Linked DNA regions of Drosophila melanogaster. The protein of the gene in region 1 interacts with the protein of each later gene in a pairwise test. Each region holds a gene or a part of one and is shown on either strand. Other genes may lie near its edges.

Region 1 (3,936 bases):
TAATAGAATTGCTATTTGGTAAAACTCGCATTTTGGCAGCTACACAAACATGGCCCATTAGCTCAGTTGGTTAGAGCGTCGTGCTAATAACGCGAAGGTCGCGGGTTCGATCCCCTCATGGGCCAGAATAATTTTTTTTTTATTACATTTCTAATGCACTTTGAAAATTAAAAAGTTAGTATAGATTTGATGAGAACGTGTCCCGCAAGCTTTTTGTACAAACCTAGATAAGCGAAGCCCAATTATGGACGGCTGCTAATGTTATCTCATGCCGTGCATGCTAGGACAGTGAGTATCCTGCGATGATGTCACATAAAGCCGACAAGGATGATCTAACGTGGTCTATTTCTCGCAAGGCGGCTGAGTGAAATGTCAATTCAATTTACCATCAAGGATGATTGAATTTCCCGTCCCTTTAGCCGACCAACTTCTCCGCGTGTGAGGTATCTTAATTTGCTTTGGCAATCAAGCTAAACGGTTTATTGAACGATCTTATCTTCGCAACGAGTTGAAAATGCTTTTAGACAATATAATGGCAAACAGAGAACATCCTAATTTATTGGTTCAACGCCCCATTTTGTATATACTTTTATGACACTAGATTTTGGGCGTTTGCGGAATCAAGTGTCAGGATGGCCGAGCGGTCTAAGGCGCCAGACTCAAGATTGAAAATCTTACTTTCTGAACGAAAGTGTTTGTGAATGAGCGTTCTGGTCCTCTTTGAGGGCGTGGGTTCGAATCCCACTTCTGACAAATATTTTTTTAAGCCCACAGAAATTAGCAATGATTTGACAAACAATGCAAAATTAATAAATAATCAAATATATATTTGCGTATACTTTTGAAAGATCTCTCTTTTGGGTTCACCTATATAAATACGTGACCAATAAATAAAATGGTAACAAATACATTTGCCATTGTATTAAATTAATATATAAATTCGTGACATATTTTTAGCAGGAAAACGAAAAACGAAAAACGAAAACTATCGTAGTAGCATTGAAACATATAGTGTCAAATTTAGTTCTTATCAATCCCTGAATCCAGATTTCAGTCAGGTTAAAAAAGTTGTATATTTTTATATCAATATAAGCCATGTCGGAAGAGCAGCCATCGAGCTCGTTGCTCAAGCCCATTCTAATCATGAAGGATATCGAATTGGACGGAGCAGGTGATGGCATCGGTAAGGAGTCCTCGAAGACAAAGAAGCATGTAACCTTCAACCGGATGGTGGAGTATTATACCTACTCGGAAACTTTGACCAGCTGGAAGAGGCGCCTTATGTCCGACAACGACTTGGTAGGTACTGAAACACCACAGACATGAATTCCCCATTGATACGGTCTGTGGGCTTTTCAGCGCCAGAGCATGCCGACCGAGTCGAAAACTTGCTTTACAAAGCACTAGGCCAATTTATGACTCCGGCCCACCCACATTGCCCATATTGAAGAACCAATACTGAACAGGAACGAAACGCTGGCGGAAGTTGTTAAACTGAACGTGACACTTTTAACCTAATTGGCAAATAAACGAGAGCCCGAGTCCTGCCAGCGAAGCGGATGTGGACTTGTCCGTTGTTTTTAATGCATTTTCCGTGTCCTGCGATGGGGAACGAAGTCGAGCAAATGACCAATGAGTTATTCATGATTTGTACCTACATTTCTATATTTTTTGTTCGTATATTAAAAGCATAAGCTAGTGCAGAGTGGTTACGTCTATTTTGGCCTTCATGCTCATTCAAAGCACGTAAGTGGTCATGCAATTTACAACGCTTTTTGCGCACCGAACGGAAGAAGTAATCTGTATTTGAAATATTTACAATTGGTAAGGCCCAGTCAATAGCTGGAGAGAACAGAGAATGGATTATAGCCAGATTAAGACGTCAAAACAAGCATTCCTACGATAAGTCTAAGCCCAGCAACTGACCTATCCCACCTATCTCACGGCTAACTAATCAATAACCAGTCGGTAATTAAAAGCACCCATATTCTCCTGCCAGCACCTGGAGACAATTGCCGGATGATGGGCCTTTTGGGTAATCAGCGATTGATACGAATGAAATATGGCCGTGTCATTTGACAACCTTATCCGCACGCGGGCAATGCCCAATCTGTGGCTATAAAAGGCCACCCATCGCAGTTAGTTAGCCATCCAAGGTTGAACCGCAAACATGTCCCTACTAATAGCAACTTTCTTAGCCCTGCTGGCCCTCACGAATGGCGCAGTCATTCCCATTGGCCTGGAACCACAAACATCATCGCTAGGTGGCCGGATTGTTGGAGGCACAGCCTCTTCCATTGAGGATCGTCCCTGGCAGGTTTCTCTGCAGCGTTCCGGAAGTCATTTCTGCGGTGGATCCATCATCAGCAACAACATCATCGTGACCGCCGCCCATTGCCTGGACACTCCGACCACGGTCTCCAATCTCCGGATAAGGGCTGGCTCCAATAAGCGAACCTATGGTGGCGTTCTCGTCGAGGTGGCTGCCATCAAGGCACATGAGGCATACAACTCCAACAGCAAGATTAACGACATTGGAGTGGTGCGTCTGAAGACTAAGCTGACCTTTGGCTCGACCATCAAGGCCATTACGATGGCCAGTGCGACGCCGGCTCACGGATCAGCAGCTAGCATCTCAGGCTGGGGCAAGACCTCCACCGATGGCCCCTCGTCAGCGACGCTGCTCTTTGTGGACACGAGAATTGTGGGCCGTTCGCAGTGTGGCAGTTCCACTTACGGATATGGTTCCTTCATCAAAGCAACCATGATCTGTGCAGCGGCGACGAACAAGGATGCATGCCAGGGTGATTCTGGTGGACCTCTGGTATCCGGAGGCCAACTGGTGGGCGTCGTCTCCTGGGGACGAGATTGCGCCGTCGCCAATTATCCCGGCGTGTATGCCAACATTGCCGAACTGAGAGATTGGGTCCTTCAGGCCCAGAAGACTGTCTAGCTTTAGTTAAGCACAATAAAATCGCACTCATAGTACGTATAGTTAAACTGCAGCTGGCAGGGCTTTTATTTCAACTGCTGCTTCCGCTCATTTACTGCTCAACAGCAGTGACTTCTGAATCCAGTCCCCAGAGCCATACATGCGGCAGCAGGACGTGCCCTTCCTGTGGGCCACGCCGCTCGTTTGGCTCATGCAATCTGGGTCAGTCCACAGGGGTTGGCTGCCGGGTGGGGCCTTCAATTCTGGCGGGGCACAGGGGCGGCAAGCCCATGGTAAGCCAGTTACAGCGTTTGCATACTAAAGTCGGGTGACATATCTGTGACATGGCTGCGAATGACATGTAAAATCTCTGTCTATTCCATTTACACGCTTTTGTATTACTAAAAATTAAAGTTATGTATGCCATTTATTTAAATATTCAAATTTTTTTAGTTCATTTGCTGGAACATTTTTTTTTTGCTAATGGTTTAACTTCCTCACTGATAGTTTAGTTTGAAATTCCTTTGAGTTCCCGTTTATGCACTGCATGTGCACTTAAAATTTGCTATCTCTATTGTTTCTAATCGGTTTAAGCGTTTTACAACTTTTGATTGTCGTCATTTAAATAACCAATTTATGGCTAACAATAAATTTTGAATGCAAAAGTGCCTGTCAATGACGTGCAAACATTCTGTTTACTTTTTGTAATTGCTCTTTTAAAGCTTTTTTAATTGTATATCAGCGGAAAAGTTGGTGCACAATGTACAAAAAAAAAAAAACTGTTGTAAATTATTAATTATACTAAAAACAGGCTATAATTTTTCATAACAATATATTGTATATCAACTGACAAAAGCGCGCCATACTTTAAGTAGTTAAGTGGAACCGAAAACTCCCTTGACCTTCCACACGCTGCACATCTAGAAAATCAGCACAGCATATGTTTGCGCATATTGAAAAGGCCAATCGAAAGTGTACGGTCTATAAACAAATGAAGTTGTTAG
Region 2 (5,406 bases), on another chromosome or scaffold:
ATGACGACCAATCCGATACTGAGTGCATTCGCACCATGCAGATGAATGCCAAGACGTTGAATCTACCATTCGAAATCGTCATCCAGGGACCGAGCAGCAATCGCTTTGTGCGCAACGCACAGCAGTTCGAGCAGAAGCGAGATCTGGTGGCCAGGAGCGCCAGCACTTCAATGCAGTCGCCTCGAAATCGTCGCTCAAACATAACCATCTACAAGCCCTCCACAAAGTTGGTCATTCAACGTACGGCCAATGGCTTAGAAACGCCATCCAAGGCTTCGGAGCAGATAAGGCACAAGAGGTCCGTCGATCACCTGGAGTGGTTCAATGACTTTGCCAGTTCCTTGGTGCGTCCCTCGCCACTGGGCACTAGAGCCCAGAAGCAGCAGCGTGCATCAGCCAAGCCATCGGCATTCAAGCGTCAGGCTGAGCTGGAGGAGCCGGCTCGTCGGGAACCATGGTTCCTGGAGCAGTCAGCTTCGCGACTGACTCGCCCCGCTCCACTTAAGAAGGATGCACTCTCGCGGAAGAACAAGAAGAGTCCTTTGTTCCGAAAGAGCGCCAAGAGCAAGGCGTCCAAGGAGCAGTCGCGCAAGCAACCGGAGCGAGAGATTCGGCCACTCCGCGATGCCTTGCAGGTGGTGGAGCGGATACCCAAGGTGCTTCAAGATACGGTCAGTCATCTGTCCTCCGATCCACGCACTGGGGATGTCTTTAGCCTGAATATTAGAAACGAGGATGTGCCGCAGAAAAAGGATCGCCAGCCTGAGGATCGTGTGCCACGCAGGCCTAGCGCCACCTTCCGTGGTTTCCGGCGCAATGAGATCATCCCCGAAGCCGTCACCCTGGCTGCCCCAATGGACCTTGCCCCACGAGCTCCACTTCCCGGCCAGCGTCCAGGTGGACTCCTGCTGCCCTGGCTGAGGCAGCGGCGACTGATGCGTTTGCAGCAGGCACAGGGAAATCTGTAGACCCAACATACCCAATTTACTTTCACTTTTATTATTATAATCATTTGTTGTATATTTATAAGGCATTTTGGTCTCTCAAAAATAAATATAAATTTGCACATTATAGTGTTCTGCAGTAGCAGCGAAGATAGAAGCGTTCGAAATTAAAGTATCTGAAGTAGTAAGATCTTTATGTACCTGTAACAATATGAAGGCGTTCTTAAAGATCGTTTTCCAATGAGTCATTATAGTATTCACACACGCAGGTAGAAGTTTGGTAGGTTAGACAGGTTTCTATAGAACTCCATTCTTCAGTTTCCCTATTATTTCAATTGGATCTCGAATCGAATCTCAAAGATACATCTATTCTACTGATGATCTAGTATAATAATGATAATTTGAAGAAGGAGTATTGGTGTTACATGGATTGTGGATTGATAACAAGTTACTATACTATGCTTAGGAATATTTTGCCTGAATAGAAAACCCTTGCGATCTATCTTACAGATGCCATAGATTTCGGAGTATCTAAGTAGCATACTTTCGGGCGCGGGTGCTATCTGCCGTTGGCTCCTCTCTCTCTTCGGGCAGCTCCATCACGCTCTGTGGCGACGCGTCGTCCGATTTGTTGGCAACAGGCGCTGCCGCGTCAGTTCAGTTCAGTCCGTCGCGTTCGTTCATCTCCAGTGGTCGTCGCTGTTCCGCTGCAACAGGTAGTTAAAAAGACATAGCCCGATTGGTAAAAGGTGCATTACCCGCTGGAAGCCCCACAAATAGGATGCGCGCGGTAGGGGGGTGCCCTTGAGTTCTAGATGCACAGAAAGATACATGCACGCAGATACAGATACAGATACAGATATAGCCATTGGCAGAGGGAGAAAAGCGCTTTCTTTGCGTTTGGTTAAATATTACAAAAATCGAGTGAGAGGAAGCGGGAGAGCGAGAGTGAGACAAAGAAAGAGTAATTTAAAAAAAAACAAAGAGTGCATGTTTCCATTTAATTTACATAGTTTTGCTTCAGTGTGTGACGAAAAACAAAATACAACTTAGTAAGCTAAGTAATTTGAAAATCAAAGCAAGGAGTGCAAAGGCAAAGTAGCTTAACGAAAAAAACAATAGGCAGCCAAAGATCAACGGTCGCTATCTCATATCTAGTATCTTGTATCTGAAAGATGTGTGTGTGTGTGTTTGGGTACTTCGAGAACGAGAATCTGGCGCTCAACTAAAAAAAAAAAGAAAAAAAAAAAACCAACTGCATCAATTGGCAATTGGTATAATCAATTAGAAATTGATTTGCGACGGAGTGATCTTCAACCAGTGATGATTTGATTGATGTAGGAAGTGGACAAGTCTGATTGATATGGCTAATCGCTGCACTTGTTGCACTATCGAAAACTAAAGTTATAACAAAATGTTTTTATTTCGTACCCTGTACTGGGGCGAATCAATTTCTTTTGCTCTGATAAATGAAATCATGTAATAAACTGACGTTCTGTACGAACCTTATCATGCCATATAAACAAAAACAATGGCATACTCACAGTGATAGTGGCTCTTACTAAAGAAAAACGACATACAGACACCCGCACATGGCAACGAATAACTACAAACAGCTTTATTTCGGCACCGATTGCCTTTATCTTCCGCAATTTGTGTGATAAGTTCAGCAAACTGTTTTCCATATCTGTGGTTTTTTCGGAGGAGGATAATCACGCGACGTCTGGCAGATAATCCACTCCATCCATATTCAAGTAATTGAAGGCACCGCCGATTAGAGACATACTCTACTCTGAATCATTAATAGTTACAAGACTTTAAAAGCGTGTCTAACAACTGACACATCGATTCACAAAAAGCTCCATAAAGAAAAAAAAAACTCATTCGAATCCATTTACAGAATGACTCAGTGGCGGTGAAATCCAGCAAACACACATCCATCGCAGCCAACCAACCCATCAAACATCACAGCCAAGCAAACCAATTATGGAGTTTGCCCGCCGAGTTTCCGCTCGCTTTGAAACCAAAAGACTGCCGGAGGATGTGGACGATGGCCTGGAGACGCTGGAGGAGTACAAGCAGCGCTGGCGCTCCGTCCGCATCATCTACTTTACGATGTTTCTGATGGCGCTTGGCTTCAGCATCATACTCACAGGCATTTGGCCCTACCTCAACAAGGTGCGTACCCATTTTGGTCACGCTATCCAGCTGCTTTTCAATCTCATCTCTCTTCAGCTAGATCCCGATGCGGGCAAGGAGTTTATGGGACTGATTGTGGCCGCCAATCCGCTGGGACAAATGATCTTCAGTCCGATCTTTGGGTGGTGGGGCAACAAGCTGGGCAAGATTCGTCTGCCACTGCTGCTATCGCTGTCTCTATTCACGCTGGCCAGTGGCATATACTCCTCGCTGGAACTGCGTCCGGACAATGTGAAGTACTGGATGCTCTCCTCGCGGTTCCTCATCGGTGTCAGCTCGGCGAATATTGCCCTGTGCCGCTCCTATTTGTCCGCTGCGACACGAATCAGCGAACGCACACATGCCGTTGCAATGGTTTCGCTGGCACAGGTCCTTGGATTCATCATTGGTCCAACTCTGCAGGCGGCAGTCACACCGCTGGGAGATCAGGGACACGTCTGGCTGTGGGGCAAGATGCACTTCAACATGTACACGGCATCCGGATGGATCAATGTGCTGATGAGCATTGGAAACTTCATGATGTTCCTGCCCGGAGTGTTTGAGGTGAGTGGCCAGGTTACTTGGTTCGCTCTAAAGTGTCATTAAATTTGAACACTCCTTCAGGAGCACAAAATTGCAGCTCGCGAGGTGATGGTGATGCAGGGCGGCACATCCGAGAAGGAGACTTGGAAAGGCATCAAGCCCAGCTATTTATCCGCATGGACTTTGATCGTCGCCTTCTTTGTTCTGGTATTCAACTTTGTGCTGTTGGAGACGTGAGTAATCCTCAGAGTGGGTTTTTTTTTTTTTAAACTATTGCTTCCTCGCCTTGCAGTCTGGGCACATCCCTGACAATGGATATGTTCGCTTGGTCCAACGACGAGGCCCTATGGTACATGGGCATCATGATGACCACCGCAGCTATTGTCTCCCTGGTCACGTTCGTTTTGATTGAGCCCATGTGCAAGATTATAGCCGAGCGTTATGTGCTCATCTGGGGCGGATTCTCGCTGATGTTTCTCGGTCGCGTGCTCTTCGTGCCTTGGGGTCCGGATCCGCCAAAGTTGGCGCAGCCATTCAATGCCAGCTGGAACCTAAGCGAAAGCGATCCCATCTTCTTGGGCTGCCCCACAACGCAGAAATGGTGCGGCGAACTGCCGGCCTTGACCTTAACGCAGTTCATCATTGGATTTGCCTTCACATCGATAGGATATCCCATTGGGGTGACTCTCATCCAGACCATATTCTCCAAAGTTCTGGGACCTCGGCCGCAGGGCGTCTGGATGGGCTGGATGACCGGTTCGGGTTGTCTGTCCCGCGTCCTTGGTCCAGTCTTCGTGGGATCCATCTACACGCGCCTAGGTACGTTCTGGACCTTCGGCGTTACTTCGGCCATGATGCTGGTCTCCATGTTTTGGCTACAGTGCAGCAAGTAAGCTGAAATACTATTCGTTTTTAAGGCGGTTCCCCACAATAAATAACATGTTATCTTTTCAGTCGATTACTAATCCCGCCAACATTCGAAAAGACCACACCTGTCGAGCTGAAAGAACTGAACAAGCACAATGGTAGCAAGCTGCTGGACGACCACTCACCGGACACGCACAATGGTAGCCCACCGGAAGATCTGTCTCCTGATCAGCCCATTTTGGGCAAGCACGGCAGCCAGCACTCGATTTCACATGCGTAACGACGGCTGGCTATGGAGCATCCGTAGATCTAAGACACATCGTTGCAATACTGCCCCTTAAACTAGCTTTAAAATACAGTGTTTATTTTTGCACAGTTTCGACTGATTATGCGTTTATTGGTACTACGGTTGAATGTGTAGAGGTTGCACGTCGTTGTCTAGTTCTTTTTTTTTTTTGGCGTGTTTTGCATATAGGGAGGATGCTTAAACACGTATTTCCATCTTCTTGTTTAAGTGTACGAGTAATGGTTAGTTTGGGTTTAGTAACATGTATGTGGTTTACCAAGGCGGCAGCCACAGTTGTGAAATTGTCGTCGGCATCAGCATGTGCTGCTGGTGTGCTTGGTGGTGATGGTAGTAGGCCGCCGCTGGCGACCAGCAGAGCAGCCAGCAGTCCACAGGCGCCGTTCTTCGATTGCTGGTCGTGTGGTAGAATGTGTGACCCATTGGCAGGGGCATGGGTAGTGCAACCGCTACTCAGCTGCTGCCGTGATAGTAAAACTCATCTCAGTAGGGCGCATATCTGCGACCCGGCGGCGATGGACCGCGCATTCCGCGCGACGAAATCATGCGTTCGTCGAATGCATCGCGACT
Region 3 (5,307 bases), on another chromosome or scaffold:
GAATGAATGCAAGCCAACAGTTGGCACTCTGTTTTATGTGTTTTTTTTTGTTATTGCGGTGTCCCTTGCTTCTTCTTGCTATCTCCCTTTTTCCTTTTATCTGCCTGCAGCTGCACTCATAGTTGTTGTTTCTGCTATCCTAGGTAAACCTTCGCAGGTAACGGGGGTTGCTTATGTGTGTTCGCTCGTGCTCACATTGAATGGCAATTGGAGAGAGTAAAAAAGAGAAGCAAAAATTACTCATTCAACTTTGTTATTGCTTCGACTGCTTGTTTTTGTTGCTCTACGCCAAGCGCGTTGCTGCATGTCGCGTGCGTGTGACGTCACGATCGCCAATTGGGGTGGCACGAGTTTAATTCAATGGTGAAATATTGAAAAAACAGAGTGGATCCTATTATAATATTACAAAATTATTTTTAAAATATTTAATTTGAAAGTGGACAGAAACTGTTGGCAACCAAAATTTAAACTATATATCATTTTTTAGAGTGGACCAAAATTATATTTTATTATTATATTTTGAATTTCATATTGTTCATTTTCAGCAAGAGGAGTATTCGGGAGCGCCTGTCCAGTGCCTGATTCCCGGAACGAATCAGTGGGCGCTCATTGGGGTCTCCTCCTGGCGGATCGCGTGCGGACCCACGGGCGTGGAGCGGCCCAGGATGTACGACAAGATCGCCTCGAATGCCGCCTGGATCCGCGAGACGATCAGCGCGATATAGTCGGGATAGTTCACCAGGGGGCGGCGGCACGCCCCTCAGCGCATTTGTGTAGAAAACGGAACCGAAACTCACTGGGTATTATGTGTGTGTGTAGCAAAGCAAGTAAGGCAATTAAGCATATGTACTATGTAACTAACCTGCTCTAATGTTACTCGAACCTATGTAACTCTATGCTAACTGTATTCTTTAAACGTCCTTTTTTTTGCTGTTTTGTGTAATATTTATTAACTATGTTGTAATTGTATGTTAAACATGTCGAAAAGGAAGCAAATTTAGTTGTTAGTCTGTACGTTTAGCTGTTTGTAGAAAGATATTGTTGAATAAAATGAAATCGTCCAAAATCAAGATAATGGCTTTACTGGGGGTATACCACAATTAGGTGGACACGTGCATGGATTTCCATTTCCCATCCTTCTGAAGGCGGTACTGCACCCGGTCTGCGATTTGGTCGAGACCCACCTTCAGGAAGTCCCAACGCTGCGGTTGGAATTTCCAAGCGGTACTAGAAGAAGTTGTAATTATGTATATGTTAATTTACTAAATATAGATATACATATAAACTTCGAAACTCACTAGCTTGCTGGTCTCTCGATGGATTTTCCTCTGTGATCCAGAAGGAACTGATCGTGCTTTGCCTTGAGATCATCGTAGTTAATCGGTTCTCCACAGGGACAGATGTGACCCCTGATTTGGGCAGCCAAATTCTCCTTCGCCCACAAAGCATCCATTTCGCTTTGGTCAAGTTCCACGGCGGTGGCTCCAATCAATCTCACCTGCCAGGCATTCTGATTTCCGGCCTTATCCTTAACATCTGGCATATAGAAGGTGATGCAGGCCTTGGGATTGGCCTGAAGGTTCTTGAAGTTGCGAACGTACCGATGGGTGATGTAGAACACACAGTTATCCTGGGTGAGTCCGCGGTACAGAACAGTGCGGTTGAGCACACCGAATTCCTCGTCCACGGTGGCCAGGTTCATTTCCTGTATGAATCCATCGGGATGTCCCTTGGCAGCTTCCTGAAGGATCTCCTTAAAAAATTCAACGGGATCGGAGGGAAAGTCCTCGATTTTGGCCAAAGAGGAGGTCATATTGGTGGGTCCTTGAAGCGAAAAATATTCTTATACATTTTGAAAATGTAATACACATTTAATGTTAATTGGTAAAGCCCCTTATAACTGAAGTAATGTACTGTCATTCAAATTTGGCGCACTTTGCGCGCTGTTAACGCTAACAGCACTGTAACAGAAGCGCAGTACTTTGCAGCGGTTCTATAATCGATAGCCGTTGATTTCACGTTATATTTGCGAAGCTATCGGTTACTATCGATACATAGAAACGAAACAAATTCTCCCAATTTTCGGCTGAAAACGAGGAACACCAACTCGCGATTCTGGGGCGGCAGAACGGGAAATCCCGCCGAGGAGCAGCATGACCTCCATTCTGGACATGAAGGCCGGTCCGCCCGACTACTGGGCGGAGATCAGCAACTTCTTTCTGCCGCTGAAATACCTGATCACCAACGACCGCTTCGATTCGATGGTGCGGGACATAGACCTCTATTACCTGATCAACGGGGTCTTTTGGATATTCGTGGCGTTGTCTTGCGGCTACTACGCCTTCCAGCGGCTCTTCCAGGTGGGTCCAGCACGTGGCAAATCCTTTCAATCGCAGCACCCTCGACGCGGCGCCTCCAATTGCACTTTTCTTTTGAGGGGTTGCTCGGCCAATTTGCCGTTTATAAATAAACAGAGCGGACACGGTGCCGGATTCGCGCATTCCGGGGGTGGACGGGGTGCCAACCGAGTGGGGCGCTAAAAATACTGTTACCAACCCTTTGAAAAGCTTCAAAACACAACGAAATGCGGCACTTTTTGTATTGTTTTGGCTTGCAACTAAGCTGTAAATGATTATTATTTAAATATGTTGTCTCTTGTAAAATCAATATAAGGCGAAGATAGTATTGATTTTACTCCCGACAGTCATTGTTTAAGGGATTCAGATGTACTTCCTTCCCCATTCGGTTGGCACTTCGCTCCTGGCTTTGGTGATAGCATAAGTCCGGTGACAGTCGACCCATCGGCGCTGACCATAAGCCATATAAACCATTATCTGTAGTGACCCAAGACCAATGCTCGACTAATTGCTCCTCTCCCTTTTCAGTTCTTTCTGAAGTCGTCGAGCATGAAGCACTTTCAGCGGAGGCTGTTCGCCCGCGTCATTTGGAACATCGCCTTCTATGCGGCCAGCTGCCTGTTCCTGCACTTCTACAACGAGTTCATGATCCTGCCGCAGCTGATGAAGAACCAAGGACGCTACTCGCTCTTCTACTCCTCGGAGAACCTGATCTTCTATCGATCTCATCAGGCGGAAAAGTTTCAGTTCTACTCGATCTTCATTATCACGTTCTACCTGCATGGGGCGTGGTTGGACTTCAAGGACGCTGACTTCCTGGAGGTGGGCTCCAAGGGACTCTACCTGCTGTCCCTCGTCGCCATCGATGTTTACAGGCAAGTCGAGACACGTTTGGTCCCTACCATTCTAGCCTGGAGCCATTTAAGCTCGAAAATATTAAATACTCTTTATTTTTAGGTACGAAAACTACTTTGTGGGCCTGAATCTAACGGTGGGTCTGTACAGCATACTCACCGAGGTGCTAGCCCTGTTGGTCCTGCCCAGCACCAATTCACACCGGATCATCTACCAGGTTTTCCTCGGTCTGCGCATCATGGTGTGGGCGTATGTGTTTGTCAACCTACTGCCCTTTAAGTACTTCATACCCACGCTGTTCGCCAAGAACTTTAAGCTTTCCCTGAATGTGCCCATTTGGTTGTGGTACGGCCTCTCCATTTGGAACTCGCCGGTGCTGCAATACTTCTACCATCAGATATATCACACAGCGCCGTCGGATTGTTCGGGCGAGGGATCGGCGGCTAAGTGCATCCTGGTCAAGGACACCAGTGAGTTCCGGCACTACAAGACACTGAAGAAGGCCTATTTGGAGGTAAAGCTGGCACACATTAGAACCACGTCCAATTCGCTGCCCTCCGAAACCAGTTCGGCCTCGGCCAAAACCTTTCAGGCCATAAAATGTAAGCTTCCTGCACTAACCGATGTTGAATATCTGATTAACAATCATTTTCCCTGGCAGGCGTCATGATGCTTAAGCGCAAATTGAAGCGAATTCGCGAGGGACGTGGCCATGAGCCGGAGGATGACAACGATGACCAGGCCATTGATACCTAATCGCGTCCTACCGCACGGACGCAGCACACTTTTACACAGTAGAAAACCACATTTCCTTAAACCAAACCAAAAAAGACACAAGTTCAGCTTAGGCTAATAACTCACAAAGTTGAAACTAGCGCTCTCTCTCTCTCTCTCACTCAGGCTGATTTCGGTTTATGCGTGTTAGCTAGAACGCGATCAGCGCGAACAGTGCGTTTTGGCCAACATTCAGATCGTAATCAAAAAATAGGAATATTTAACACTTGAAAATTTGTAAATTTGTCAACGTTTTTGTTGTAAAGACTTTAAAAATATCAGTTGGTAGCTTTTAATCAAAAATTATTTAAATATCTCAACGATTCAAATATACGCGTTAAGAACATAACAACTAAAGGTTGTCAAAATTAAAACATGAATATAAACGATAAATCAAACGTGCAGATAATCTCAAAGGCTATATACGCAAAAATCGAAAAGTGAGGCTTACAAAATTAATCTCCTAGAAGTATTTAAAATAATGTTATATATCTTTAAAACGTCGAATTCGACTGTTGCCAAACGCACTGTTCTAATAGTACTTATTCGATAATAAACCACAGTGCGTTTCGATGCGAGCAATACAACAATTGACGCACTGTTGTCACTAGTTAACAATTATTTATAAAAACTCTAGATCAATATTAAATGTAATATCTACCAATCACGATTTAGACAGCACGCATAAACCAAGCGGCTGAAAGACCTTAGCAAATTTAGTTAGTATCGCTCGATTTTTGGCGCCAACGGAGATCGTCGCTGATGATATATATACATATAGTTACTATATCTCTATACCAACTCTCTCTCTCTCTCTCTCCCTCGCACACACGATCGCAGTTTCTCTCTCGTTTAGATTTGTAAGTCGCCTTCAACTTATTGTTGTTGTTTATTCGCTGTGACTTAATGACATATTGAAATATTGTAATGTGTTGTTTTTTTTTTCGTTCTTTTAATTGAAATATACTATATATGGGCTAAACGAGCGCAATTGAAATGTGTGTGTGTGTTGTTGTTGTTGTTACTGGGTTGGTTGCATTCGTTTGTTTTATTCACTTCTTAGCTCTCCCATCGTGGCTGAAATATTATATTATATTATTAATGTTCTTGCTTTATTTGATATTTGAAAAGAATTCTCTAGTTAAATTTCGGTTTCTCATTTGGTTTTAGGTTTCGCGTTTCTTCCTTCGAAACTTTGTTTTTGATATCCTTGCAATCGTACGTTCTCAACATGAATTCTCATTTGCTCATTTCATAATCGGAATCGATTTTAGAACTGTTTAATTGTACAACATATTTACGTATTAGGTCTGTAAACTAA

Evidence for each region.
Region 2: the proteins of Ser8 (region 1) and Cln7 interact in a two-hybrid assay, tested with the Drosophila melanogaster proteins (one large-scale study listed by BioGRID).
Region 3: the proteins of Ser8 (region 1) and CG1636 interact in a two-hybrid assay, tested with the Drosophila melanogaster proteins (one large-scale study listed by BioGRID).

Annotation. Positions count from the first base shown.
Region 1 is NT_033778.4:13,432,042-13,435,977, forward strand, and holds Ser8 (Ser8), read left to right. Parts: upstream 1-2,165; 5' UTR 2,166-2,170; coding exon 2,171-2,953; 3' UTR 2,954-3,004; downstream 3,005-3,936. Other genes in the region: CG30065 (uncharacterized protein), read left to right, coding at 1,096-1,299, 1,360-1,407.
Region 2 is NT_037436.4:7,341,384-7,346,789, reverse strand, and holds Cln7 (Cln7), read left to right. Parts: upstream 1-1,606; 5' UTR 1,607-1,660; intron 1,661-2,405; exon of another isoform or gene 2,406-2,698; intron 2,699-2,844; 5' UTR 2,845-2,930; coding exon 2,931-3,122; intron 3,123-3,179; coding exon 3,180-3,686; intron 3,687-3,746; coding exon 3,747-3,898; intron 3,899-3,957; coding exon 3,958-4,554; intron 4,555-4,619; coding exon 4,620-4,812; 3' UTR 4,813-4,906; downstream 4,907-5,406. Other genes in the region: CG14834 (uncharacterized protein), read left to right, coding at 1-968; lark, read right to left, coding at 5,320-5,406.
Region 3 is NC_004354.4:8,271,395-8,276,701, forward strand, and holds CG1636 (uncharacterized protein), read left to right. Parts: upstream 1-2,017; 5' UTR 2,018-2,153; coding exon 2,154-2,360; exon of another isoform or gene 2,361-2,412; intron 2,413-2,885; coding exon 2,886-3,232; intron 3,233-3,314; coding exon 3,315-3,814; intron 3,815-3,873; coding exon 3,874-3,968; 3' UTR 3,969-4,807; downstream 4,808-5,307. Other genes in the region: CG1632 (uncharacterized protein), read left to right, coding at 546-725; CG15343 (uncharacterized protein), read right to left, coding at 1,101-1,227, 1,299-1,813.